Diceros bicornis minor: one gene and its partners. The protein of the gene in region 3 interacts with the protein of the main gene of each other region in a pairwise test. Links are inferred from orthologs where the notes say so. Each region holds a gene or a part of one and is shown on either strand. Other genes may lie near its edges. The genes, in order: PIMREG, RWD domain-containing protein 2B, KRT40 and JOSD1.

Evidence for each region.
Region 1: the proteins of KRT40 (region 3) and PIMREG interact in binary tests that used the Homo sapiens proteins (3 or more experiments, as listed by UniProt). The two-hybrid records come from large-scale screens. The link is inferred for Diceros bicornis minor from reciprocal best matches to the Homo sapiens genes KRT40 and PIMREG.
Region 2: the proteins of KRT40 (region 3) and RWD domain-containing protein 2B interact in binary tests that used the Homo sapiens proteins (3 or more experiments, as listed by UniProt). The two-hybrid records come from large-scale screens. The link is inferred for Diceros bicornis minor from reciprocal best matches to the Homo sapiens genes KRT40 and RWDD2B.
Region 4: the proteins of KRT40 (region 3) and JOSD1 interact in binary tests that used the Homo sapiens proteins (3 or more experiments, as listed by UniProt). The two-hybrid records come from large-scale screens. The link is inferred for Diceros bicornis minor from reciprocal best matches to the Homo sapiens genes KRT40 and JOSD1.

Annotation. Positions count from the first base shown.
Region 1 is NC_080757.1:12,900,845-12,907,971, reverse strand, and holds the start of PIMREG (protein PIMREG), read right to left. Parts: upstream 3,001-7,127; 5' UTR 2,925-3,000; intron 2,378-2,924; 5' UTR 2,344-2,377; coding exon 2,050-2,343; intron 370-2,049; coding exon 74-369; intron 1-73. UniProt on the Homo sapiens protein: During mitosis, may play a role in the control of metaphase-to-anaphase transition.
Region 2 is NC_080766.1:29,905,613-29,912,557, forward strand, and holds the start of RWD domain-containing protein 2B, read right to left. Parts: upstream 3,004-6,945; 5' UTR 2,866-3,003; intron 1-2,865.
Region 3 is NC_080757.1:40,394,563-40,402,129, reverse strand, and holds the start of KRT40 (keratin, type I cytoskeletal 40), read left to right. Parts: upstream 1-4,562; coding exon 4,563-5,009; intron 5,010-5,705; coding exon 5,706-5,788; intron 5,789-6,059; coding exon 6,060-6,216; intron 6,217-7,404; coding exon 7,405-7,566; intron 7,567-7,567. UniProt on the Homo sapiens protein: May play a role in late hair differentiation.
Region 4 is NC_080764.1:11,248,740-11,256,526, reverse strand, and holds the start of JOSD1 (josephin-1), read right to left. Parts: upstream 3,023-7,787; 5' UTR 2,278-3,022; coding exon 2,093-2,277; intron 1-2,092. Other genes in the region: GTPBP1 (GTP-binding protein 1), read left to right, coding at 6,597-6,788.

The DNA of each region.
Region 1 (7,127 bases), about 27 Mb from region 3:
AGGTAGCCCCAGAAGGGGCTCAGAAGCCCCTGGGGCCCAGTTGGTATTTTGGGGCAGGGCATTTTCCTCATACCTGGGGGAGCAGAGGGGCTCTGTCGAGGAGTAGGGGCTCCGGAAGGCAGCCTCCCTCCTGGCCCGTCGCAGGGGGTGGCCACGTGGGCCTATCTGGGCGGAGAGGCCGTGATGCTCCCTCTCCCAGGGGTCCAGGGTTGAGTGGGCAGGGGCAGCTCCAGACAGCCGGGTGCTCCTCTGGCTCAGGCTGCGAGCTGGGGGGCTACTGCCCTTCTGTGTCCCTCTCTTCCTCCTCCTGGCTTTCACCTGGGTTTCCACCAGCCACTTGGTACCACTTTGGCAGGACTCCTGGATTCTCTGTGACAGGTACACGGAAAGGTGAGCACAGACAAGCCAAGGAGGAGCTACCCCGAGTCTCCAGGCTGTACCTCTACCCACTTGGCCCACCAGCTATCCTGCAAGTACAGGCAGCTTTTAGTCTCAGGAGTGAGGGATGTGGATGAGTCTGTGTGAAATGGGTGCATGGCAGGGACCCAGCTCAGAGCTGGGTGTGAGAGCAGTGGTCACAGCAGAACCATTCTTGGACGTGGAGCCTGCATTTGTCTAAGCCCAGCCCCTGTTGTGGGACACACGTTGACCCAAAGAATCAAAGGCAAGGCCCAGGGAAGACCAGGCTGACCCCCCAGGATACCATGAGATAATTGGTCTCCCTGCCTCTGGTCTCACTCACTTTATCCATCCTCCACATTTGTGCGCAGAGATCCTTCTCAAGGGCAGCTCTGACCATGACACTCAACAGCTCAAAACCCTTCTATGGCTCTCACTGCCCACAGGATCAAGCCCTAACTCATGGGCCTTTCACTCCAGCTGGGGCACGGCTGTGAAGGCTCTTCCTCAGCCAGGCTGTCTTTGCCTCGGCAAACCAGAGTCTGGAGGTTAGAGACTCGAGTTACCTTCGGTGAGTAACTTTGGTGACCTTGGGCAGCCTACCTCATTTCATTTCTCTGATCCCTGGGGTATAAAACAATCACAGGGCTCTTCCAGACAAGGACTAACATTTGGCTCAGAGACCTTTCTGCAAAGGGTTCAGAAACAGCTTCCCTCTCCCAAATCTTGAGATTCTCAATCAGACACAAAGGAGATTCCTCCCTCCCCCCAGTTCTCTCCTTGGAGGTCTAGTCACTCTCATGGCCTCTGTCCTTTCTAGGGGACACCTTTCCACATCTCCAGCTCCGGGTTTGAAGACACACCCACTTTGAAGGCCCACAGGTACCTCACACCCAACATATGTGATATCTTCTTGCCCACACATCTCATCTGATACCAAATCTTCTCACATCTACCTTCTGAGTAGCTCTTAAAGTTGTTCACTCCTCTGTAAGGCTAGGGCCCCAGGCCCCCTTAGGGGGAATCTTCTTCTAACTCCTTTTCCATCGAGTAGCTAAAGAACAAATTCTAATATGCTAATTGGACCCTATTCCCACCCTGTTGAAAATTCTTCCCACTGGTTCCCATGGCTCCCTATCACTCTTGGGAGAGTCTAACACCTTCAGCACACCAGATCCCTCTCTCTTGCACCAGCTTGCTCTCTGTTCTCTGGCCACACCCAGACTAAGCGCCTGTCAGTTCTCCTTCATTTCTGGCTCTGGACTCACACTATTGCACCTGCCTCATACATTCCTCATTCTTCCTCTTTTGTGGGTGAATTCTGCGGAATCACCTCCTCTGGGAAGGCTTCACCCACCGAGCTTGTTTTTGGTGTCACCCCCCATCAGCCACTCCTTGCAATTTCCTATCACAATACAGCTCTTATCACCTTGTACTGTGAGGATCTATTTCCTCCATGACACTGTTTTCCTTCACTCATTCAACTATTTGTTGAGTGCCAGGAATTATTTGGGGTGCTGGGACACAGCAATGAAAACATCAATGTCCCTGTCCTCTTGGACTCTGTATTCTTTGGGGCTCCTTGAGGGCAGCAGCTGTCAGCACCGAGGAAGCCCTCCATAAATTGATGGTTCGCGCTGTCAGCATTACCTGGGACACGGCACCCAAGGCGTTCTTAGCTGAGCGGGCCGCAGCCTGGAGACCCTGCTGCCCTGGCTCTGGGGCTTCCAGGCGTTTCCAGGAGGGGCCCACCCCCAGGTTGAGGCTGACTGCTCTCAGAGGCAGCCTCCTTTGGAACTGTCTGCACAGAGAGCCCAGGGCCCCACTGGAGGTCTCCGGATGGCTGACTGCAGGCTGCAGCATCTCACTCTCCTCCAGCTGCTCCTGGTCCTGGAGAGATCTTCGGCGCAAGGAGACCCCCACGCTTGGCCACCGAGAGGCCATCTGCCTGGCCAAGAGTCTATTCTGTCCACCAGACCTTGGGAAGGAGGTCAAAAGGCAGGTCAGCAAGGCATCCCCCATGCCCAGGCTCCACAGAGACCCTGGGTACAGGGGAAGAGATGGGACGGAGGCCCATGGGGTGGGGTGGATGGCCGAGGCCGGGGGTGAGGGCACTCGGCAACTGTGGGAATAGGAAGGAGGATGCTTCCTAGAAGGCGAGGGCAGCGAGGCCCAGAAGAGGGCAGAGGCTGTACAAGGCCGGTCAGCATCTCCTGCAGTCCCTTGCTGCAAGTGTCTAAAACAGCTGTCCTTCCATCCCAGCCTGCTTTCCGCTTCCTGCCTCAGGGAGGGAGGCAGAGTCAGGACCGGCCCTCCCGAGCCTCAGCACTTGGCCAGGGCACCATCAGCGGCTCTTTCACAAACTCGCGCTGACCCAACGCGATCCCGCCAGGACCCCGCATACTGACCAGACACCCCGATTTCCACCTTGCAATACCCAGACGCCCACGTGCCGTGCCCATCCTACCCGCTCCGCCCCGGTCCCTTCAGAACAGAAGCCCCACTACGGCCCGGCCCGCACTCACCCAACAGCCCCCAACGTCGACCGGACGCCCGGCACAGCTGCTCCTCGCCCACTCCGGCCGATTTGAAACTCCGCGCGGATCCGCCCCTGGTCCTGTCGTCACAGCTGATTGGCTCCGTTCCCGCATCGCTGCCGCGCCCGGGATCCGATTGGCTCCCTGCTCTCGCGGCTGTGAATCCTGCCCGCGGATTGGCCCGGCCGTTCCCATTCATCCCTCAGGACCGCGCCAGGCTTGGCGCGACGAGATGCTTCTCCTTTGTAACTGCGGGTCCCGACCGCGCCCCTCGCCGGCCCAGCCCCCGCGCCCCCTCGCGGACGCTCGGCCCCAGGCCACTGCGGCCCCTCCTCGAAATGCAAAGGGTTCAGGCTGGTCGGACTGGGCGGGGCAGAGACACGGGCCCGGGCTCCTGGGGACCCTCCCATCCTGTCCAGAGTCTCAGATTATCCGTCAGAAACAGCCGGCAGCTGGGAGCTCGGAGCCCTGGGTTCCCGTGGAGGTTTTGTTTCAAACTTCTCTCTGCCTTCCGGAGACGAGGCACTGCCCTCCTGTGTTCCCCAGACTCCACCAAACTCTGCCCCCAGGAAATCCCATCCTGGAAGAGAGAACAGACCAGAGTACATCACCCAGCCCTCCTCCAATGAGCCCCCTCCCCACACCCGGTGTGCCCCACTGACGCTCCTCTCTCTCCAGTCGAATGCCTTCCTCTAGAAATCTCCCGCCACCATCTCCCTCTTTTACCTGACCTCACAGCAGCACTGGCCACTGTCCCCATCCTCACCTGGTTTAACCCGCCCCCTCACCTCTCTGGCCACTCTCTTGCTGATGTCTCAGCTGAAGGGCTCCTAGAAGCTCTGTCCTTAGCCTCTTCTTTATCTCTGGGTGATCTCACCCACTCTCTGGCCTCAGTGACCCCCCACGGGATGGTGAGTGTGATGAGCATGTATGGGGCGCTCACTGTGCACCAGGAAGCTGTGTCCCAAGCACTGTATATTATGAACTCATCTGACCCTCATTGCAGCCTAGAGGAGAGGAGGAGACTGAGGCAGAGAGAGCTTCGGTTGGGTCCCAATCTCCCTTAGTTAGTACAAAGCAGGGCCAAGGATTCAAACTCTGTCAGTCTGGCACCAGCGTCCACGTGCTGCACCACCACACCACACCACACCACATTGCCCTTCCTTAGCCTGTGCCTGTCCCCTCATGCCCATCTCCTCCTGGGGCTGTAGGCACCTTAAACCCACACGCCCCAATCGACGTCACCCTGGTCTCTCCCAACCCTCCTCCTCCCTCCCCGTGTCCCCTCTCATGTCTTTCCAAATATCTACTGGTGTCTGACAGATGAAGCACTGTGCTAAAAATGGACCAAAGGTCAACAAACAGACGCATTCCTTACCCCCACGGAGCTCAAATCTAGTGTGTGGGGAGAGACCGGCATTAACGAGTCAAATAATAATCAATTAATCAAAGAATATTATGACACAAAAATTACGTCATTTAAAGCTGAGATCCAGAGAATGAGTTGACCAAGCAAAGAATGTACGTGCGTGTGTGTGTGTGCGTGTGTGAATGCGTGTGTGGAGGGTCTTCTCGCACAGGAATGTTCAAGGCAACATTGAACAGTACCCGTGTAAGATGCCCAGCACACACACATATGTTTAATGAAACAAGCTTTCCTGAAACTGTGTGATGGGCTTTGATATTTTATTATCTACTTCATTTTTTTTAACATGCTGGTGACAGCTCCCAATGGCTCCCTACTGAGGTGTGAGCTGCAGTTTGAACAACCCTGCTCTGGTCTGCCTCTTCCCCCTTTTCCCCCATTAAGTTATTTCCCAAGCATCAGAGGTGTTTGTTCCCAGCCCTGTTTGTGCCAGTTATATTTGTTATTGGAATTAAAGAATGTAGTTCAGGTCCTCTACCAACGAGACATAAGGGGGAAAGCAAGAGTTGTTTTATGAAAACTAAGTTGAAAGTGTGGGAAAGACTTAGAAAAAAAGTCTCTCAAATTGGGTTGCCTTGTTACAATTGCGTCAAGGCCTTGTCTCCGTGCCTCTAGCAGTGCCTGGCACCTCACTGGCGTCAATACGATAGCTTAAGTTGGTTGAGCCCTTAACACGTGTGCGATAAGTGAATTCCTTTATTCTTCCTTAATCCTCACGGTGACTCTATGACAAATTACAGATGACACAACTGAGATTCAGGTGGGTCAAGTGTCTTACCAAAGTTGGGATGGAGAGTCAGAGCTGGATCTTAAATCTTGGATGTCTGACTCGAAAACCTGAATTCTTAACCTTAGATTACACAGCCTGAATGAATGAGTGAATGAACCAGAGACAAGGCCCTCCCTGCTTGGGGCTTCACACCCCCTTCCCTCAGAACCATAACTGGCGGGCCAGGTGCACAGGATCAGTCTCCATGGCAACGATAGGAGGAGGAAGAAACCTGAATGGGAAGGCTCTCCCTCTGCCCTGCAGGGAGTGAAGTGAGGGAGCAGCACGGAGGATGCGCTGAGGTGAGCAGGTGCCCAGCGGAGGGGCGGTGGGCGCAGGGGCTCCTGCTCCTCCTCGTAAGGAGGAAAAACCACAGTTGTTCCGAGCTGAGGCTTTTTGGGGTCCAGCTCCGTCCTCGCCTCTGCTGGGGAGGAGGATGGAGGAGTGAAGGAGGAGCTCCAGCCCTGCCCCGCCCCGGGGGCTCCCTGTCCAACAGCAAAGCTTCCACCGGTTTCCTGGACCTCATGGAGCTGTCAGTGTGATGGAAGCAGCAGACATTAAACTCTGCAAGATGCCACGAATGCGAAGTGCTAGGGGCGACGAGGGGGTGTAAGGGGGTTGGGGAACCCCACTTGATTTGGGGGTGAGGGTAGGCTGCCCTCAGCATATCATGTTTTAGCTGAGGAGTTAGGAGGACAAAGCGAGGGGAAGAGGTTTTCTGATTGAGAGATCTGCAAGGGGACTGCCCAGGCTGAGTGAGATGGAGAGGGCGGGGCCGGGGTGGCAAGAGGTAGGGGCTGCAGGGCTCCCTTGACCGGGGAAGGAGCTTAGAATTTATCCTGAGGGCAGAGGGAAGCCTGAGTTTTGAGAGGACCGTGGGGTTGTTAGAGCTGCAATTTAATGAAGTCCATTAGGAGGTTAGTTTGGGGGCCAAGGGGTGGCGGGGGGATCCGTCTGGAGGCTCTGGCCTAAGCATCTCATTCTTCAAAGCAGTGAAACCCCGGTCATCAGCTTTAACACCCCCTCCCTTCATGCCCCCACCTCTCACCCCGCCCACCGTCTGCCAAACCTCTCAGTTCTACCTCCTCTAATCCGTGGGTGCCTCCTGACCCTTCTACAGAGGGAAGCAACGGAAACAGCGGGAGAGTTTTAAGCAGTGTGAGACGTGATTAGACCTTTTTCTTCGTTGTGAATTTTATCACTGGCAGAAAAATGGCGAAAACATCAAGTCTCGTATAATGAATACGTGTAAAGCCAACAGCCGTGTACCCATCACCTGGGTGAAGAGACAGCACATTACTGGGACCCCAGAAGCAGCCCCCACCCCCTGTTGTGTGTCCTCCCTCCGTCCCTGGACTTTTATGGTAGTCGCTTTTATTTTTCTTTGTAGTTTTGTCATCTAAGTATCCGTCTTCCCTCCTATGCATGCAGATGGCTGGCTGGAACGGAAGAGAAGGGCCTCTGCACCCCCACCCTGATCCCCTGCCCCCAGAGAGGGATGGAGCTGGGCCCTGGGGGCCGGGGGGTCTGGGCGCTCAGGGAGGGGTCCTGGAAGGGCCTGATCCGACTACCCCAGTCTGGGTTCTCTGGTCCAGACCAGCTGGCCCAGACTTGGCCCCCTCTATGCCACCGGCTCCTCATGGGAGTCAAGACTCTTGGGTGTGCCGTTTTGGGGTCCCACTCACTGCTCCAGGGAGGCCCTCCACTTCCTGGAGAGGGAGGCAGGAGAGGTCGATTTTCCTGGTTCAGCTGGGAAACTGGAGTTAGGATGGGGGACACCCAAGGCCACAGTTCAGAAAATAAGAGGTGGGATCAGCTCTTTGGAGGCATGTCTATCGGCTGCTAGTCCAGTTCTCGTCTCTGCCTGTGGTGGGGCCCCGTGTCCCTTCTCCCTGTAACAAGTCCCTCTGGAGTCAAGAAGAGGAAGGCTTTGGTGCTCAGAATCCTCCAGCACCCTCAGAGCTCTGAGGAGACGAAGCATAAGAACTTGAACAGG
Region 2 (6,945 bases), on a different chromosome or scaffold from region 3:
ATTTGAGCCCTGCGTCCTGTCTACTTGCTGGTCGACCTTGCAATAAAGCTCTTTCTTCTCTCAAAAGCAGTTGCCATAGTATTGCTTTTATGCACATCACACAGCAAGCCCTTGATGGTTAAAAAGTACTTGAAATGCTGAATGACACCAAGTTCAACAGGTTTCTTTCTTTCTTTCTTTTTTTTGTTTGGTGAGGAAGATTAGTTCTGAGCTAACATCTGTTGCCAATCCTTCTCTTTTTGCTGAGGAAGATTGGCCCTGAGCTAACCTCCGTGCCCGTCTTCCTCTACTTTATACGGGACGTTGCCATAGCATGGCTTGATAAGCAGTGCGTCAGTCCACACCCAGATCGGAACCCATGAACCCCCGGCCGCCAAAGTGGAGCATGTGAACTTCACTGCTGTGCCACTGGGCTGATCCCTCAACAGGTTTCTTTAGGGTGACCATGGGTCATCCTATTGTCCTGACTGGCTTATTTGGACAATAAATTATACAGGCACACTTTTTGTGTGACTTCTCAGAGTCTTTATTGTTAGATCCCAATACACACTGTGAATTTCTAAGAAGAGGGTTTAGTTTGCAAAGTATCCCAAACCTATCTGACCCCAGAACATTTTTTTCCAGACCCAATGATATTAGCTCTCCTCTCCACAGAACAGGAATCCCTGCTTTGTCATCTAGCCACCCCAATTTAAGTAGTTAAGTATTGCCAAAGCTACCCACCATCTTCATTTTGAGTCCTTTTCAAATTTCTGTTAGAGCTGCAAACACTCCTCCCTCCTTTAAACACAATGTTTTCTTTACTAACCAGTGACTTCACATAATTTTATATCCTACTATTTCAACTTGACATTCTAACTTAAGCATTTGCTCTGTTATTTAAAAAAATCTTCATAAATATTTAAAATTCCTGGACTTATTGGAATTCCATAAATATCTTTTCTAGTCTGTTTTGGAGTTGAGGAATCTAAGAAACAACTCGTTAGATGGTTATTAGAGGAAATGAATTGACTTTGGTTTTAGATCATAGTGGTTTAAGCATGCACTCTGTTACCAGACTGCCAAGGTACCACTTACCAACTGTGTGAATCTAGGCAGGTGGCTTAATTTCTCTGTGCCTCATCTCCCCATCTCCAAAATGAGAGTGACAGGGTTGCCATGATGATTAAATGAGGATGTGTGGAAAGTGCTTAAAACAGTGCCTGGCAACAGAATCAGTGCTATAAAAGTGCTTGTTATTATTATGGGTCATTCATTCAATAAATGTTTCTTGAGTACCTATTGCATGTCAAGCATTGTCCTTGGCACTAAGACTATAATATGAACAAAAGGAACAAAAAATCTCTGCTGTCGTAGAGATTTTATCTAGCGGGAGAAGACCATGACAACAAAAACAAATACATATGTGTATTGGATAACTTATGAAGACTGAAGATAAGGAGCAAGTGGGAGGGCTGGTTCGATTTTACGAGGGATGGTCAGGGATGACCTCTCTGCTAAGGTGACTGTAGGGAAGAGATTGTAGGCACTGAAGAAGGAAGCCATGTGCTTATCTGGACACAGAGTTTTCCAGGCAAAAGGTACAGATTCAAAGGCCTTGGGGCAGGAGGGTGCTAGGCCAGGTGGCTAGAGCCAAGTGAGCCTGGGGCAGTGTCTCCTAACCTGTTTCAGGAGACAAAGTTAGAGAGGAAAAATGTGGCGGTTTATGTTGGGACTCACAGGGCATGGCCAGGACTTTGGAATTTATCCTGACTGATAGGGAAGGTCCCTGGAGGGGTTTGACTTACTTATGAAGATGCCCAGGCTTCCTGCTGTTAACAGTGGAGGGGAACAAGGATGAAAGCAGAGAGACCAGGTGGGTACTACAATGACATAAGGAGGGACGACAGTGGCTTGGATTAGGGTGTGATGGTCGAGGCGGAGAGCAACGTTCACATTCTGGACATGAGAGGAGAACCAACAGGATTTACTGATGAAATATACGTGATAGGTAAGAATGACTCCAGTGCTTTGAGAAACTGGAAGGATGGATTTGCCATTTATTTAATGGGGAAGATGGTAGAAACATGAAGCTTGGTTTTAGAGATTCTAAGTAGTGAAGTGCCTACTAAGACACCTATTAAGTACAGATGTCCAGCAGGCAGTTGGACGTACAAATATGGAGTTTATAAGCGATCCAGCTGGAGCTGTAACGTTGGGAGTTATCAGCATTTATTTAGAGGCATGTTTGTCTGGTCACCCAGGGAGTGAATGAAGTTGGGAGAAGGCCCCATTGAGTTTGGAAGTCCGGAAGATGAAATGGAATCAGCAAAGAAGTTTGGGACCAAGCGACCTGTGGGCGGACAACTACGGGAGTGACGTCACAAGGCAGTTATTTATTTGTCAAACTACTTTCGTAGATGAGATTTTAATCCCAAAAAAAAAAAAAACCAACATTTAAGATTTCAGTGCAAAAAAAAACCCTTTTCTGACTCAAGATTTCACTGAATGCTGTAAGAACGTATGAGGAAACTTGAGTTTCCAGAGTGGAATCATTCTTTTTCCTTGCAGATTTTTTTTTTTTTTTAAAGAGCCGAGCCTGTCTGGGCTGCCCAAGTCCTGACACTCAGAAAGTTGCCAGGGCCCACTACAGAAGCCCGGCGCGCAGGCGCTGTCGCCCCTAACAACTGACAGGGCATTGGGGGTCGGGGGGAATCCCTGGCTGTGGGCGGCGCCAGGAAACTCCGACGCCAGCTCTAACCAATGAGCGGAGCGCAGCGCGTGGGGAGGCGGGGCCGGCACATCGTCAAGTTCTCGAATGTCCAACAGGCAGCGACAGCGTGGGAGACCCCCAGGCCTGCTGGGCACCGGTGCACAGAGACTCACCTGGAGCCACGGACCCCGTCGTGCTGTAACCCCGGGTTTCCTGGCAGCACTGACAGCTCAATTCTCATCCAGAGGGAGCCTCGAACTGTAGGACTAGGCAACCTGACGCCCACAAACCGCTCCCGCAAGGCGGCCCCGGACTAACGAGAAAGTGCCCTCCCCGGGTGGCGCATGCGCGCTCGCGGGCCGCACGTCCCGGAAGCCCGAGCGGCAGCGACCTCTTGGTCGCGGGATGCGTTGGTGCGACGGGGTTCCTTAGCCCTACAACGTTCTCAGTTGCAGAGATTTTATTCTACCCCATTGGCATTTCCTGGCTACTGCTACTGTCAGGGAGAAGTATAGCCAGCACAGTTTCCTCGGTCAAGGAATGGTCCATTAAAGTAACGCTCCTCAGGTTCGAACTTGCGGAGGAATCATTCGGGGATCTTGGTATAATGCAGATCGGGATTCGGTAGGTGCCGGTGGGGTCCCATATTCTGCGTTCCTAAGATCTTCCCACGCAGTAGCGATGCTGCTGGTCCCTGAAGGACACTGAGTAACAAGGCATTTGGGAGGAGTGAGCATGATTGGTGGCCATGTCGACCTTAGGAAGGACCCTGTGCATGCACAGAAATTTATCCCGGCTAATAAAAGGGCAGTTTGAAGGCGACTCCAACAGGAGAGTTATTAGCAGTGTTTTTCTTCGATATCTAAATACACGCAATGCACTTTTTTCTTTATGTTACATATTCATTTTAGAAATCTAATCAGTAAGATGTTTGTAAACACTGATATTCATTGGTATCAGGTATTATTGCTAACTTCCACAACCTTTCTTTTTTTTTTACAACAACAAGATTAGTACATAGGTCTTCATAGCTACATCTTCTACTTGGTGTTTTGTGAGCATTTTTCAATGTAATTAAACATCTACTTTTTTGTCCAACTTTTATGAAAAATTGCAAGTATACAGCAAAGTTGAGAAAATTTTGCAGTGGAGCAGGTCTAAAGGGAAGGAGGAGGGGGGATTTTGCTCCCCAGGGACATTTGGTAATGTCAAAAAACATCTTGGGTTGTCATAACTGGAAGGGTGCTTCTGGCGTCTCATGAGTAGAGCCCATGGATGCTGTGCAACTTCATACAATGCACAGGACATCCCCCTACAACAAAGAATTTATTGGTCCATAGTGTCCATAGTCCTGAGGTTAAGAAACCGACCTAGACACTATCATAACATTTTACTGGACCAGCTTTGTCATATATCTACTCCATCCATCAATCCATCTGTTTTGATGCAATTCTAAGTAAATTGCAGACATGAGTATACTTCTCCCTAAGTACTTCAGCATAACATTAGGAGTCAAACTATTTAGGTTTTTCTTTTGAAGTAAAAATGAAATGCACATCTTAAATGTATATTTGATAAGTTTTGACAAATGCATAGACCTGTGTAACTCAAACCCTATTAAGATATAGAACATTACCAGCACCCCAGAAAGTTCCTTCATGCTCCTTCCCAGTCAGTCCCCAGCCAAGCCAGCAAAAATAGTTTTGCCTGTTCTAGAACTTCATATGGATGGAATTACACAGTAGGTACTTTGTGTAAGTCTCCTTTCAGTGTCATATTTTAAAGATTCATCTATGTTCTTGTGAGTATCAGCAGTTTCCTTTTTTCCTCCGCTGGAAAAGAGTTGCCCTGAGCTAACATCTGTTGCCACTCTTCCTCTTTTTTTTTTTCCTCTCCCCAAAGCCCCAGTACATAGTTGTATATCCTAGTTGTAAGTCCTTCTAGTTATTCTATGTGAGCTGCTGCCACAGCATGGCTACTGACAGACCGGTTGTGTGGTTCAGTGACTAGGAATGGAACCCAGACCGCCGAATTGGAGCATGCTGAACTTTGTCCACTAGGCCATCAGGGCTGGCTCTCAGCAGTTTCTTTTTATTGCTTAGTAGTATTCCATTGTATTTCCATTCCAAGTTTTTCCATCTTCTTTTGATGGAAATGTGGGCTGTTTCCAGTTTTTTGGCTATTAGGAGTGAGGCTATGAACATTCTCATACAAGCATTTAATTTCTAATGACTATGTTTCTTCAATAAGTATTTATTAAGTACTTACTATGTTCCAGACTCTTCTAGGTACTAGAGATACAGTCATGAACAAGACAAAGATGTTCCATCTCTCAAAGAGGTTACATTTGCACATTTCTGTGTATGTATCAGGGTGGGGGGGGCGGGGCAGAGTAGTAAACTAAGGCGATGTGAGTGATTGAGTGGCTGTTACCTAGGTTGCTCAGCCAATTTCTCTGTGAGAAAGTGACTTTTAACGTGTGAACAGAATTACAATAAGATACCAACGACGGAAGATCAAGGGGAACAACATTCTAGGCAGAGGAAGCAGGTGGTACAATAGCCCTAAGGATGTGTTTTAGAATACAAAAATAATGCCTGTGTGCTGAGTAAAGACAGTTTAAAAAATTATTATATCAGCAATAAAGAGCAGGAAAGCCAGTTCACCCCCATGTTGAACCATCGTACTCTGGCTGATCTGACAGCTGAGGACGCCACTTTCTTAACCTACTTTTGATTACTCATAAGGATGAACATTTCTTCATATCTTTTACAACCAATTGTTCTTTTATCGTGAATTGTTTCTATCCCTTGCCTATTTTTTCTATTGGCATCTGCATCTTTTTTCCCCACCGATCATTGTATCTTCTGCATAACACAACTCCAGGGCGGCGAGGCTTGTTTGTTTAATTCTCTTCGCAGAGGGCTTGGCCGTTACCTATTTTGAACGAATAAACAGTACATGTTTGAAAGTTTTACCCTCCGTCGGCAAGGTTAGTTTAAGACAACGTACTTAACTTTAAAAGTCGACTGGACAGAATTAGGGGAACTGTGTGAAATTGAAATGTTCCGGGCTTCGCCAGCCTTCAGGTGTAATATACTTGAGTAAGGTAGCCCTCCAGGAAACTCCAAACCTCTGACCACCACCACCAGGTACCCATATTTTAGATGCATGTAAATAACCCCATAGTTACTTCCGAGCAGACAAGACTCAGTGACAGCCAGACTCCAGGTGCAGCAGCGGCTGGACTTCCGGCGCCAGTCACGCGCAGGCGCCGATTAACTAGCGTCAGCCCCGGGGAACCCTGGGGGCCAAAGCCATTTCCCATAATGCCGCGTGCCGGAAGTTGTTGCTTTCTAGGGGTCACTGGCTTCGGCTCTGTCGCTCTCTATTCGTCACCGGGAGGAAGACCGAGCTTGCTGCCCAGCCTAAAGGCTCGTTAGGGGATGCAGTTATGGGCGCTGTCGTTGTGGGTGAGTTCTGGTCCCACTGACTCTGACTCGCAATCACCGCTCGCCTGACTTCCAGCGCTCCTAGAGTCCGAATTTTCCTGCTCCCAGCTGGTTCTCTTCTGGAAGGCCCCGCTTCCTTAAGCACGTTACGCGGCCTCGGCCCGGTACCGCGTCCTCATTGGCTTCATGTCCTGTCAGTTCCAGGAGCTGGCCAATGAGTTGTCGGTGCTGGCGCCCTTCTCGACCCCCGTGGCCGCCGAGGTTCCCCCGTGGGTGCGGAGCAGTTGGAAGGGAAGCGGGGGTGTGGCGGGCGCTGCGCGGCTTTGGGCTCTCCACGGGTTGGGGCTGGGTTTGCTGTCGCGTCCGTATCGTGTGGTCAGTAGGAAAACCAAGATCTGTCACCTAACCGATTCAGTGCCTCTAGGGTAGGACAGATCTACGCGAAACTTGAAAGCCATGTTTAAGACCTGCTGATAAAGTTTTCCAAGCGCTTGCATTTTTAATGGAACCGAGCAGGCGTGGGAAGACTGGGAGGGCAGAGAGGGAAGGGAACTGGATTAATCTGAGAGCCGACAAGATCAGCTTTGATTCGAATTTTGTGTGGAGTCCTGCAAAGAGTAATTTGCCAAGAAGGTAATTCTCCTCTGAAGGCTCGCCTGAGAAACGTAATAGATTTATGGATGTTTTATAGCTGATGGTACTCTCAGTACTTTATTCTCACGACTCATTAGATGCCCTGTAGAGTTGTCAAAAATTCGTTGGAGCTCTTTCCACATCATTCAAGTGACTCCCTCCTGTCCT
Region 3 (7,567 bases):
AATTAATAACAAATTTACTTTAAATTTAAATTAAGAGATTTTAATTTTAAAAATTAAATCTTTAAAATTAAAAATTTTAATTATTTAATCTTAAATTAAATAAGAGAGAAGCAAATGAAAATTCTAGAACTAAAGAGTACAATCTGAAATAAAGAATTTAATAGATGGCCTTAATAGCAGATTGGAAACTGCCAATTATTGAAATCGATGAATTAAGATAGCTCAAAATAATTAAGATAGATCAAAATTATCAAAAGTAAAACATTGAAAGAAAAAGATGGAAAAAAAAATAAAAAAACAGAACCTGAGCAGCCCGTGGGACAGTATCAAGTGGCCCAACACATGTGAAATTGGAGTTCCAGAATGATAAGATAGAAAGTGGGGCAGAAAAATTGAGGGAAAAAAGGGCTGAAATTTTTCCAAATTTAGTGATTTATTTTATTAGCCTACAATTCAACAATCTCAACAAACCCGAAGCAGGATAAACACAACCTAAACACACACACACACATCACACAGATAGAGTCAAACTGCTAAATAACAAAGATCAATAGACTATCTTAAAAGAAATAGGAAGGAAAAATACACATTAAATAGAGGGTACCAAAGAGAAAAAGGTTGCCAGACTTCTATTCAGATAAAATGGAGGTCAGAGGACAATGAAACCTCATTTTTAAAGTCCTGAAGGAAAAAAAAATATTAATTCAGAATTCTATAGTTTGCAAAAACAACATTCAAAATTGAAGGAAAAATGAAAACATTTTTAGATAAATAAAGCTGATAAAAAGCATTGTCTGAAAGCCTACACTGTGAGAAACACTAAAGGAAGTCCTTTTGGTTTAAAAGAGTAAATTATACGAGATGAAATCTCAGACCCACAGGGAGCATTAAAGAACACCAGGAGGGGGCCGGCCCCGTGGCTTAGCGGTTAAGTGCGTGTGCTCCGCTACTGGTGGCCGGGGTTCAGATCCTGGGCGCGCACTGACACACCGCTTGTCCGGCCATGCTGAGGTGGTGTCCCACATACAGCAACTAAGAAGGATGTGCAACTATGACATACAACTATCTGCTGGGGCTTTGGGGAGAAAAAGGGAAAAAAAAGAGGAGGATTGGCATGGATGTTAGCTCAGGGCTGATCTTCCTCACGAAAAAAAAAAAAAAACCACCAGCAATGTTAAGTGCAGAGGGACAGTAGAGAATATTTTGTCAAGCAAATATATTGTCAGGCAACTACTTTCTCTTGGACAAACAGCCCATGACAAATACACAAAAGACTGGAATAGCTGCTTCACAAAAGAAGATACCCAAATGGCCAATAAATGCATAAAAAGTTGCTCAACTTCGTTAGTCATTAGAGAAATGTAAATTAAACTATGAGATGACACTTTACACTGACTAAAATGTCTATAATTAAAATGTCTGACAACATCAAATGTTAGTGAAGGTATAGAACTAAATCTTTCATACATTGTTGGTAAGAGTGTAAAAGAGTATAATCATTTTGGAAAAAAGTCTGGTAGTTTCTTATAAAAAGAAACATGTACCAATTCCATGACTCAACCATTCTACTCTAGATATTTACCCAAGAGAAATGAAAATATATATCCACAAAAATATTTGTACAAGAATGTCTATAGAAGTTTTATTCATAGTAGCCTCAAACAAAAAATAACCCAAATGTTCATCCAAAGAAGAATGGACAAACAAATTGTAGTATATTCATACAATGTGATGAAAATAATCAAAATAATAAGAAATTGTCACATGTTGAGATGTGTAGGGAAGCCATTCTGGCTTAAACCTGATTCAGCCTAAACTTGTTTTCCCTAGAGCAGCCTGACTTATGACCTGTCAAACATGCATTGTACATCTGCTTTAAACATTAAACATTACCCCAAAGCAAAGGATGCACTGTCTGAGGATAGGGACGGATACCTCCCTTCCTCTGACGTCAATACCAGTGCTCTTTTGAAGGTAAATTTTTCTTGACAGAAATCAGGGTCAAGTTGACCTGCCGCACACATGCGAAACTGCAGCAAAATACCTCCTTGTGACTTTGAGGAAAAAAACGTATCCTTGTCAGGCTTGATGTATGTTCTTTGTTCTGAAATGGGATATTATCACGCTGCAAACCGCGCTTCTCTGGAACACTTTCTCCCTTTGTCAAGACTGCCTTCCTGGCTCAAGTAAAATTCACCTTATCTCTCCTATGTATAGAATGGTTACTGGTTATTTGTGTCGACAAATGAAATACTCCTCAGCAATTAAAAAAAAAAAGAACAAACTGCTGAAGCAAGCGACAACATGGGTGAATTAAAAATCATGATGCTGAGTGAAAGAAACCAGATACAAAAGTATGCACGCTGTGTAGTTTTACTCATGAAATTCACAAATAGAGAATAGCCATCTATAGTAATAGGAACCAGCACAGTGTTTACCTTTGGGAGGTGGGGATTGAGTGAAAATGAGCACAAGGGAACATTCTGGTGTCATGGAAATGTTAGATATCTTGACTGGGGTGATGGTTACATAGGTATATGCATTTGTCAAAACTGCATTTCACTATATGTAAATTTTATCTCAATAAAAAAAATGGAGGAACAAAAAGAATATGTATTTGACAACTATGGAGGCATTGGGGACCAAGACTCATAAATTGGAGATCTTACACTGGCATTATATTTTATTATCTATTAAGTGAGAGATACTCATATTGTTTATTTCTTGACAACACTATACTGTAGAAGTGACAGGTATTATTCTTCCCACTTTACAGTGAGGACTAACTAAGGCCCCAAGGGGCTACACGACTAGATGAAGATAATACAGCTAGTAAGTAACAGCATTGGGACTAGAATATAAATACTATGTCCACTAAGACAGTGTTCTTCGTCCTCCGCCAATTCTCCTTGTCTTTCAGTGTTAAATTTCTTTCATAAGGAATCATGTGTTAAGACAGAAACCTCTGTTAAGCCAAGTGGTTATATTTTTAGCAAACATTTATTAAGGGTCTATTATATTATGTCCCAAGTGCTGAGGGTAAGAAGACAAATAAGATACACCCGTCTTAAAAGAGACACTGTCAAAAAAAAAAAAAAAGGCACAAACATAAAAATTTTAAAGCAACGTGACATAAGTGGAGGTGTGTGCAAAATGCTCTGGAAAGAGCCGCCACCTCAATGTGAGGCAGTTGAATGCCACGGCAGCCGAGTCTTGACACGTGGGTTCACCCAGGAAAGGATGGTAGAAGAGCATTAGGCCAAGGCAACAGCACCAACAGAGCCTGAAGGATGAGACAGTATCAGGAAATCAGCTAGAAAGGTAAATTGGACCAGATTAAGGAAGGTCATATTTGTCAATCTAGGAAGTTTGGACTTTATAAGTGGAGAGTGACAAAAAGTAGCTTTGTATTTTACAGAAATGATTCTGGCAGCAGTAAGTGGATGTTCTGAGGTAAGGGCATATTACAGAATCAAACAACCACAACTGAAGGCAAGCAAAGTGAAACAGATTATGCTTCATAATGGAGATGAAATTCAAGGGGAAATCTAAAATAGCTACATCTCAAATCCCTAGCCGTTCGGTACTGCACCAGGGATTTCCTCCAACGGAATTGCTGATCTGGAACCCTCATCATAGAGTTTTATTCCCCAGTTCCAGTATTTTAAATTTTCATGAAATTGAGGCCTTCAAAAATAAATAAGAGAAAGCAGGTTCCATATCTCGGAAGAAAAGCCTTCTGTAGCATCCTTGCCCCTACTCTGAAGTGTAATCAATGAAAGTTCAGTTTCCCATGAGGCACAGGAAATGTGGAGAAGGCAAGTGTCAGGAAATCAAAGATCATAACTCCAGGTCTTGATAACCATTTTATATTCTGGCCTGGGGGGGCACAAATTATGCCCATCAGTTGTGTAAAGTGACTTTTCAATTTGCACACAGGCAGATCTGGTTCAAACACACACACACGCACACACACACACACACCTTAAACCCAGTTCCACCTCACTCCTCCACCACATGAGCACAGCAAGACCACAAAAAGCATTGCAAAGATTGCTAATTACACGAAACATTTTTATGGTGATGGCACAAACAAATGGCATTTAATGAGTTGTAATATTAACTTTAAAAGGAGACAATAAATAATTTTCAATGAACAGGATCAAAATCTATGGGAATATTATTTTCCATATTGATAATCAGTTGTATCTATAATTACTCATTGGCCACATTTTCTTTCTTTCCTTATTCTGACAAAAGGACAATGCTTCCTATGAAGATTTTCTGAAGCAAGCATTTTATCCCACTGGCACATGGAAATAGTGACCTTATTTAGTAACCTGAAGTTATGCTTCTTTTATGAGGCATAAAACTCTGTCAGCAAATAAACAACGCTAATGAATGTTCACATGAAAACTGGCACCAACAGCGATAAAGAAAACATCCGGTGCATTCTGTAAATACCCATTTGGGGGCTATATAAAAGTCTCAGCAGGGAAGGAGATTTTGGAGCCAGGCAACTGGAGTTTTGGAACTAGTCTTTGCTCTTCACTTCTAACAGGATGACTTCTGACAGCTCCCCCACGGGCAGCTCTTCTGAATCCTGTGCCAGGGCTTCTGATTGTGCGTTTGCTTCTACCTGTCCCGTGGAAACCACTTGTCTCCCCAGCGCCTGTGCTGCATCCAGATGCCAGACCCCTAGTTTCCTATCCAGGTCTCACTTGCCAGCCGGCTGCTTCGTGCCACGCCACTTTGCTGGGAGTTGTAATGTTCCGTGCTTGGTGGGGAACTGTGCTTGGTGTGAGGATGGGGTGTTCAACAGCAATGAGAAGGAAATGATGCAGTTCCTGAATGACAGACTGGCCAACTACCTGGAGAAGGTGCGTGGCCTCGAGGAGATGAATGCAGAGCTGGAAGGCAGGATCCGAGAGCAATGTGAAGAGGATATCCCATTGGTGTGCCCCGATTACCAGTGTTACTTTGACACCATTGAAGATCTCCAACAAAAGGTCTGGTGCCTTACTGCCCTAATGCTCCACCTTCCCAATCTCTGATTTGCTTTATCTTTTTACTGTTCTATGGAGGAAGCCAGGGAAAGGGGACTTCCAAGAGGCGATGTGATGTAGAGGGTCCAGAGTACTTAACTAGAAGTCAGGAAACACCAGCACTAGCCCCAGTGCTGCCTCTAATTACTGATTGACCACAATAAACTCACTTACCTCTAAACTTTACCCTATCATCTATAGAATGATGAAAAACTATTAAATCTAAAATTACTTCTGTATGTAAGGCTGTACATCTACATTATTTTTAGCATAAGATATTGAAATGTCATTTTTTAATCATATAATTTCACCTAGTAATCATTTTCTTTTCTTATTAATGAATTGTTATTATCATGGCTGGGGACATAGTCATAATACAAACTACTTACAGAGAAAATTTTGAGTTCAACTGCCAAGGAACATTGCAAAATGTCTTGGGTCATTAAAAAACTAAACCTTTTTATTTCTCTATTTTGTTTATAAATTGGCACTGTTTTTTTCCTTATGAGGTGACATGGTTAATAAGAAAAGCAGGCTGAAAGCTATTTTATACTTTCTTATAAAGACTTTTAAGAGATAAATAATGGCATAGATGTTACATGAATAGATACTTATGCTTCTTTCAAAAAAACATTTATTACATAATAACTTACTTTCCAGATCTTGTGCACGAAGGCAGAGAATTCTAGACTTGCTGTACAGCTTGACAACTGCAAACTGGCCGCCGATGACTTTAAGTCAAGGTAAGTTTAATTTGAATTTGAAAATAATTTATGGTTGCCTCTATCTTTCTCACACGCACACACACAGACACAAACACAGCACAAATATTCTCCATATAATATATTTTTATGCTAAGAATTCTCGCAAAGCTCGAATTTACCATTATTTGGGATATAAAGGAAATCACAGCACATGGCTTCCCTGAGTTCACGTGTCATTCATCAGCATGCCCTAGCACTCGGCACAGTGTCAGCAAAGTAAGCACAGGCTGTATCTCTTTTGCTGTGAAAGGTATGAGTCTGAACTGTCTCTTTGCCAGCTGGTGGAGACGGACATCAGTGGCCTGCGTGGGATCCTGGGTGAGCTGAACTTATGCAAAGGTGATCTGGAGGCCCATGTGGAGTCTCTGAAGGACGATCTTCTTTGCCTTAAGAAAAACCACGAAGAGGTGAGGAAAGTGGAAAATCGCTGAAGGGCTCTCAGAGTGACAAAGTTAAACTGATAGATTTCATTATGTATATATAAAATTGCACTTGGGTAGATGTGGCTTAAACTGAAACAAAATTACTCGAGGCACTACTACTATGCAGCCTGATCACTCCCATGTGTCTCTGAATGTAGATGTGAAATGACCCCTGGCCAGTGCCAGATGAAGGGGCCAAACTCATCACCTGCCATTACTTTTGTGGAGTTAGCTTTCTCTGGAGGCTTTATGCCACTTGTAACTCTAATCCATAGAGTGTGAAAATCAGGCTGATAAACACAGAGTATGAAGGTCATTTCAAAAAGGGGATAAATACCCTTAAGGTCCATCCATGTTGCCACAAATGGCAAGATTTCATCTTTTTTGTGGCTGAGTAGTACTCCACCGTAGATATATACCACATCTTCTTTATCCTTTCATCCATTAATGGGCACTTAGGTTGCTTTCAAGTCTTCCGTATGTGGAAGATAAACAAACAAACAAATACATAGATATGGAGAACAGATTGGAGGTTACCAGAGGAGAAGGGGGCCAGGGGAGGGCAAAAGGGGTAAAGGGGCACGTGTATGGTGACAGATGGCAACTAGACTTTTGGTGATGAACATAATGCAGTCTATACAGAAGCTGAAATATAATGATGTACACATGAAATTTATATAATGTTATAAACCAATGTGACCTCAATTTGAAAAGGGGGGGGGATAAAGACTCAGGCAATATTTGGACAAATATTTTTAAATATTCTGCATATATAATCTATGTAAAATCATAAAATATGAAGTGTATGATTATCTCATATTGATGAAGCTAAAAAATGAGAAGCTAAATGATATAACCAAGAACATTTTCTCTTTGAACATTTGTTGATGATAAGAGCTAACATTTATTGAGACCTCATTACGTGCCAAGGACTTTTGTAAGTGCTTTATACATATATTAACTCTCATATATCTCATAACCCTCTGGAAAAGGTAAAATTATTATACCCACTTCACAGATGAAGAAACTGGTGGTGAAAAAAGATTCAACCTAAGGAATCTAAATCTAAACTCCCTGCTCCAAAAAACAGAAGTGGGAGGCTATTGAGATGTCAAAGTGAATTCCCCCTCCCTGCCCATTCTGTGACATTCTTTACTCCATTTCCACTTTCAGGAAGTCAGCTTGCTTCGTGGACAGCTTGGTGACTGCCTCAGTGTGGAGCTAGACACTGCCCCCACCATCGACCTCAACAGGGTCCTGGATGAGATGCGCCATCAGTACGAGATGGTGCTGGCCAACAACCGCAGAGAGGCAGAAGAATGGTTCGCTGTCCAGG
Region 4 (7,787 bases), on a different chromosome or scaffold from region 3:
CTTTACGTTGTGCTGATAGGGAATTGAGGAGTATAGTACAACTTGCTAAAGCCTTACAAGCCAGGAATAGAACTCTGGTTCCAAGTGAGTGTTTAGCAAATATTTAGCATTCTTTCATTGAGGGAATACACAGCTGAAAGAGTACCTCTACCATCCACAAATAGCTTATAATCATAGTGCACCTCTTCAGACCCAGGCCCAAGTTCCGAGCAGGGTGAATGGCTCCTGATGCTACAATTGCTCTGACATGCCGTTCCAATACTCAGGAAGCAGCAGAGCAGTTAGGGGGCAGACCCTGGAAGCCCAAAGCTCGGGTCCAAATCCTGCCATTAACAGCTCTGGGAACTCTCTGTGCCATGATTTTCCTCATCTGGAAAAATGGGAAATAATCTACTTTGTAAGATTGGCGTGAGGAGTGAGCTAACACAAGGAAGGTGCTCAGAACAGTGCTTTGCCCAGAGTGAGCATTCACCTCTGTTAGTGATCACCCTCATGTCAGACCAGGGGCCAAACCTACAGAAGTGAAAAACTTCTGAAAGAACACACAGGATCTTGACTCTTGCCATCTCCCTGTGAGTGAAACCGGGCAAACTACTTAAACTGAACCCTAGTTTCCTAGGATCACTATTGATAAGGTTGTTGCAAGATCGTCACGTATCACAAGTACAAGCAAATCCAAGTACTCGCTGTGAGTCCTTTCCTTCTCCCTAGTATAATTTGCAAATACCCAATTAGGAGTAAAAGAAATATTAACGGCTAGACAAAAGGAGGCAGTCTAAGGGACTAGCCTCCTTTCTACTCCTTTCAGTTCCATGACTTGGTGATCTGAGACAAACTATCTCACCTCCCAGGGCCCCATTTCCTGAAGCCTTAATTCTGCTTGCCAGATAATGGCCATGATGGAAAGGACACATTTGCCCTGCTAAGGCATTACTATGGTTATTATCGGCATTGGAAAATAATTGCCGTCATTCTAATTTTGTCAGCACACTGGGGATTAACATCCTTTTAAGAGACGATCTATGGTTTTTTCAAGGTAAATGATCCACACCTATGCTTCACAAATCACCCCAAACAGGTTGTTTCCAGCTATAATTCAGGTCCTTCTGGGGCAATAATTTCATCTCCGAGTGAAGGGAGTCAGAAAAGGGTCTCCTGAAACGGCCAATATGCACTGCTTGAAGAATTCTTGAGCTTTCTCTGCACTGAGAACGGAGCAGGCCTCCACCTGTCTAGCTGGAGTAATGAAATAGGCTCACTGCCAAAGTTGCTATGGATTGCAGACGTCCTGCCGTGTCCATCCAGACACCGCAGAACTAATTCTCAAACCCCTTGATAAAAGAGTTTTAGAACATCAAAGCAGAGAAAAAAAGCTGAACTTCTGTCAACCTGTCCAGTAGCATTGGGCAAAATCGTTAAGAAAATCCATCTGAAATGAAGTAGAACCAGGAGGAGATCTAGAGTCAGCTTTAAATCATAGCTTTGCTACTTAGAAGCTATTTGGACAAATCACCTGATCTTTCGGCCTGTTTCTCTATCAGTAAAATAGAGAGAGTACAAGGACTGTTGGGAGGGCTACACAATGTATAAAAAGCACGTGGCCTCACAGAAAAGCTGAGCACTGTGGATACCTTTCTTATGGAACCCACGATATTCCACCTCTGATGACAGGTGACTGAGTGTGTACACATCTTGTCCCCCTTCTAGACTGTAAACTCTTTGGCGGCAGGACTTGAGAGGCATTATAGCATAGTGGTCAACAGCACAGATACAAACCTGAATTCAAACTTGGGCAAATGACTGAACTTCTCTGAGCCCTGTCTTTATCCATAAAACGGAAACAGCAACACATATTCCATGGGACTGTTGAGGGGATCACTTGAGATGACACAACTGAGGCTCTTAACACTGTCTGTGCCTGGTCCACAGTAAGTGCTCAATAAAGGGTAGTGATTATTATCTTTCCCATTCCCGCGTCCCTTATACCTGCTAACGGCATCTAGCAATAACACCGTTGGTTTGAAGGTTTTTGTAGCTGACACATTGCCCCACCTACAGAAATTCAGAAAGAGCAAAGTATCAAGATGCCTACCTCTGGAAAATCTCTTGCAGCGTCTCCCGGGTGAAGGCGTTGCTGTCCTGGAAGACGTTATTGAGTGCATGCAGGGCACAAAGCTCCCTGCGCTGTTTCTCATGGTAGATTTGTGGGGGTGCTGCCTGGGGCAGCTCCAATGATTCAGATTTGGCCTTGTCTCCTTTCCATGGCACGCAACTCATGTTTTTCGTTTTAGGTTCCAGAGAGGCCTAAAAACACCCCGCCCTCCTCTCCTGACAAAGAATGTAAGCTTCCCAGTCTTTTCAGGATTCCTGAGGTCCACCTTATTTTCTAGTGTCCATGATTTATGCTTTGTCACGGGGAGAAAAGGTTGAAACCAAAAGGACAAAAAGAAATCCACCTCTTCTCTCTTCTCAATAGAAAAATAACTTTTGGATTAGTGTATTTCGCCACCGCTGTCAAAGTGCAGAATTTTTAAAAATCATATAAAACCTAAGACCTTGTTTACCTTCTCTCCTCCCCCAAAACGCGGTTTTCTTTGCTGTATTTTCCTCTCTGCAAATGCCAACCAGGCCTCAATGCAGGACGACTTAACGGAATCGGTCACATCGCTCCTTTTCTTCCATTTCTTTCGAACTACAACGCCACTTACTCAGGAGACAGGGCCTAGGTGCTGGATAAAACGCAGAATTCGAGCAGCTAGAGAAGGCCGGCCAGCGGGAGACGGCGGGCTGTGCGGGAGCCTCGGGGGCGGCTCTCCATCCTCTGGGCGCGGCGGGGCCCCGCAGGGCGCGGCTCCCTCGGTAGGCGCGGACTCTCGCCCTCTTGCCCCGGCCCTGCGGAGGAGACAACTGCGGTCAGCCCCAGCGGGCGGGCGGGCCGCGCGAAGGAGCAGGCTGGCCGGGAAGTAGCGCGGCGGGTCCCGCTCCCCAGACAGAGGGTCCTGGGCAGGGAGCGGCAGGCCCTCGAGAGGTGGCGGGACAATTCGCCTCGCCCTCGGCGGCCCGCCTCGCCGCCCCCACCCCAACCTCCCCGCCCGTCACGTGAGTGCAAGCCGAGGCGCCCTCCCGTCGCTCCCCCAACCCCAGTCCCCACTCGGCCGCCCACGCCGCCCGGACCGCTCGCGGACGCGCCGCCGGCCGCCCCTCGCCGCCTCGGGCCGCCACCTGGAGCTGCCGGCCGCGCTCGGGCGGGCGGGCGACCGCGCGCACCTGAGCCCGACGTCAGCGGCCCTCGCCCAGCGCGTGCTCCGGAAACGCCCTCCTGCGCACTCCCCGCTCCCGCCCCGCCGCCGCGTCACGTCTGACGTCAGCCTGACGTCAGCGGCGCCGGTCTTGGGGCCGCGGCTGCCGCGCGGCTTTTGGGCGGGTGCGGGCAGCGTCGGGGGTTCCGGCGGGTGCACCGGCCAGCGGGGCGCCCCGTGTGTGGCTGCAGAGCCCGGCGGAGGCGGCGGCGGCGGCCGGTGGAGCTCAGCTCCCAGGCTCTGTTCCTTCCCGGGTGGGGATGGGTGGGCGGGGCGGCTGCGAAGAGTCCCGCCTTGACGCCCGCCCCTCCCCTTCCCCGGGCGTCGGCGCCGTTCTGGGGCGGCGACCCAGCCTGCGGCTGCACTTTGCCACTCTGCCTACCCCACCCGTGTCTCTGAGCTGGGCCTCGCGGGCGCAGTGCTTTCTAGAACCTGGGCTAGCTACTCCTGCGGTGACCGTTTTGTGTTGTCCTAGCGCGTCGTTCACCAGGTGATTTCAAAGCACCTTACTGACGCTGTCGCGCGCAAATTCTCTGGGTTAGTGGGCCCGCGCGCTCCGCACTTTCCTGGAGCTCTGAGGGTAAGTGCCTCTCCTGGAGTGGCATTTCAAGTGGAATGGAGAGTCGTATTTCAGTTCCCTGGTGTCGAATTTCGGTTCACTACACACAGACCACTGTTCTCTCGCACTCCGCCTCGCCCCTGGTCTCACGGTGGCTGCCACGGAGCTTTCTGGGTTTTCTCAGCAAACCGCGCAGTGTGCGTGTCAGGAAGGTAAACTCTCAGTCCCGCGTGGATTCTTACCCCTTTATCTACCCCTAGGGCATGTGGAAGGCATCAGCAAATATTATCCACCTTAGCTGTCCTCCTTTTGGGTTAGATAGTTGGAAAAACAATAAAAGAGATAACTCTTGGAATTCAGTTATTTCTTTAACCCTGCTTCAACACGGCTCTTTTAACACCATTACACTCGACACACAGTTATCACTTAACACACGTTTGAGTGACTACCATGTGGTCGGGAGTTCTCTGCCCTGATCCAGGCAACTTTTGAATTATCTTAAATATGTGTAATTTTTAAGCCACTTAATGGTTACAGTTGTATTTGCACAAGATTATTTAATGGAGGCTTGCACGCGCTAAGTGCTTTGTATATATTAACTCGTTTACTGCTAACTATCTTGTGAGGTAGATACTTAATTTTTTAAAGGAGACGACTGAAGCTCAGAGAGGTTCATTAACTTGCTCGAGGTAAACATAGCTAATAAGTAGTGGACCCACGATTTGAACCTAGGCTCTAACCTATCTTCAGAAAGAGGATATAAAGATGGGTAGGGAATTCTCTCTCTAAAATGTGATTTTAGATTTTTCTATTCAATTCAAGAACAATATTTTTTCTGGGCAAAACCCTGTAGTGAGAAGGGCATGTTTTTTAGTGTACCGTCAGGTGTCAGCACATTCTGAACTTGAACTCTTTCTGGACGAGCCACTTGGTAAGATATTAAATAGCAATTTTCGTTCTAGACTGCAATGCCTTGATATTTGGCTTTTCTGACAAATCAAGATTTCAATATTTGTAACTACCTCATAGAGGAATATATAGGATAGTGGTGAGCAATTTAGCCAGAGAAAAAGAAACACATTCGAAGAACTGTTAACAAGACCTTTGGATTTGGATGATTCTTGTCCCAGATTCCCAGCTGTATTTGTACACATAAAACTTGATTGTAGGTAGTTGAAAACAAGCCAAGAGGAGGTTGCCTTTTTTTCCATTCAGGTGGATCCCTCAAACTGAAGGGCATTTTGAAGACTGCCTCTTGCTCGCTAAATCCTGTGTTCCAAACCCTAAATCTTGGGTATATTACCTTCTCAAATGGCTGCTCTTTCTTGCTTGCTGCCTGGGATGAGTGGCCAAAACCAGCACTGTAAGAATTTGGCTAATCCCTAATTTCATCAAACTTTTCAGAATTGAAACAGCAATTCAAGACACTAAAAACTGTGCTGATGGTGTTTTGCATTGGTGCTTTCCACAACTGGTGACACTCTGGAAGAATCATCCATAAGAAACTATGTTATCAGACCCTAGATCTCGGCTTCACAGTTCTGTTAAAGAACAAAAATCCAACCCAATAAATTTAAAGATCTTATTGGCTTTATTCAGCGATTCATGAATAGCGAAGCATCCCATCCAGCAAATAGATAGGAGCTCCAAGGAGGTGTACAAAATGCAAGGTTTTTATAGGCGGAAAGAGGATGGGACAAAGAAGTTCAAAGAGCGGCTTTTCCGTAGGGGAGGGCAGGGGGCTTATCAGGCAGATTACCTCACTACTAGTGTTGATCAGAAAATTCCAGACTGATTGCTTCCACTCCTGGGAGAAGCGGAAACTGCAATTAGGTGAGGTATTAAGTCTTGGTCAAGGGGCTTAGCCTAAGTGACTCCATTTTGGACCTGCTGTTTTTTTTAAAGGGTTTATAAATGTGGTGAGGTGCTTTTGGCTTCCATTTTAGCAGGTTGCCTCTTTTTTTGTTTGTGTAATTGCTTTCTCCGCAGAGACAGTGAATGGAGAATTCTCCCCAAGGTCAGCGTTTAATTAATTGCCTCGCTCCGGCTGCTATAGTATCCCAGGCATCGATCCTACTGTCAAGATTGCCTAGAGAGTGCCAGCGCATCGGACCTCGGTCTTCCAGTGACTGCCTGGAGTCATTGAATTGAGTGGGCGGCGCCTTGTGCAGTTTACTATCTCTGGGGGCGGTGGCCCGAGGCGCGGGACCTATCCGATGACTAGATTGGGCCTTGTCCCTGTCCATCATCGGAAAGCTCTCGGCGCCCACTGTTTTGCGGTAAGATTTGGAAGCTGAGCACCGCCTCTGGAAGCAGGAGAGTGAGGGGCGGAGAGGGTAAACGTTACGTGTGTTTCTCTCCTCATTGGGTGGCTGCTGTGTCAGTCATACTGTGCTCTGCTCCCATTGGCGGGAAGGCTCCGGGCAGGTGGCGTGGACACGGTGCTGTCCACGGTGCCCCCTCCCGAGCTGCGATCAAGGCGCGTGACGTCTCAGATGGTTGTTGTTGGGATTTGGGCCTCATTGATTATTCATTAGGTGCTTGAAAGGGCTGCAGCGATTGGTGGCTGAGAGGCCGTCGGTTGTTTCTTAGCTAGAGATACGTGTCACCCCCAACGCGTTTGGATAAATTTTGCATAGATTATTCAGTTGAGGTGCGGGGCGGGGCCCCGCATATATTAGGCAAATGAGCCAGGGAGGGCGGGGAGGCCGGCTACGAATTAGCCTAAGTTATTAAAGATGGCGGCGGAGCGGAGTCGCTCCCCGATGGACTCGCCGGTCCCGGCCTCGATGTTCGCCCCCGAGCCCAGCTCCCCGGGGGCGGCCAGGGCCGCGGCGGCTGCCGCCCGGCTACACGGCGGCTTCGACTCGGACTGCAGCGAGGACGGCGAGGCGCTCAACGGCGAGCCGGAGCTGGACCTCACCAGTAAGGTAGGCCCGGGCGCCGGCGGCGCTGAGGGGACGGGGCGCTGAGGGGAGCGGGCGGCGGGCCGAGCCGTCTCCGGGGCGACGGCGGGCGCGGGAGGGCCCGAGCCCGCCCACCTGCCGTGGCGGGACGCGCTAGGGGCTCCCGGGCGAGGGCGTCCTCCCCCGGCGGCGCCGAGCGCCCTCCCGCCTCCCGCCGGCCGGCTCCCGCCGAGATCGCAACCCTTGGGCTCCGCCACGTGGAACAGGGGCGCCCGACGCCGGCGGCCTGCTCCCCGCGCGGGGCCGCCCCCCGAGACCGAGTGGTCCTCTCCCTGGACCGTGCCCGGCGGGCGGCTTGGGCAGGGGGAGCGGGGGCGGGAGGGTCCGGTAGTCCGAGGGGGCGGGGAGGCGGCCGCGTCCCTTCCTGGTGTCGGGAGAGGGAACAGAAAGTAGTCGCCCTGTCGGGGAGAAGGGTGTCTGAGGAATGTCTAGGGCTTTACACATCCACCCAGAACAGAAGTGAGAGATGGCGTGACCCATAATCTCGCCCTCCTGGGGGTGGAAGCTCGCCTCGTATGAATGGAGTAATCAGGGACGTTTTAAAGCGTGTCTTCTGAGCTCTTGAGAAGGTAGGCGGGAATTAAGGGCTCGCCGTCTGCTTGGCATTGTGGGGATAAAGAGTGAGTGTAAGATGTGACTGCTGTTTTGAAGGTGCTTAGCATTGCTAAAGGACAGAGCTGGGTTGCCTTTCCTGTCATGCCACTTAAAAAGGCTCTGTGACCTTGGAAAAGTTTCTTAACCTCTCAGTTCTCCAGCTACATCATTTTTAAAGTATAGATGCCTTGTAAAAATGAGAAATGTATGTAAGACGCTTACTATAGTGCCTGATGTATACTACTCAGTAAATGTTTGAAGTGAATTGAATAAACTGATAATTCCCTGTGCAGATTAAATAGCAGCGGATGGAAGATAGAACAATACCACCTCCTTCCTGTTGTTGCATAGTTACAATAGAGATGTTTA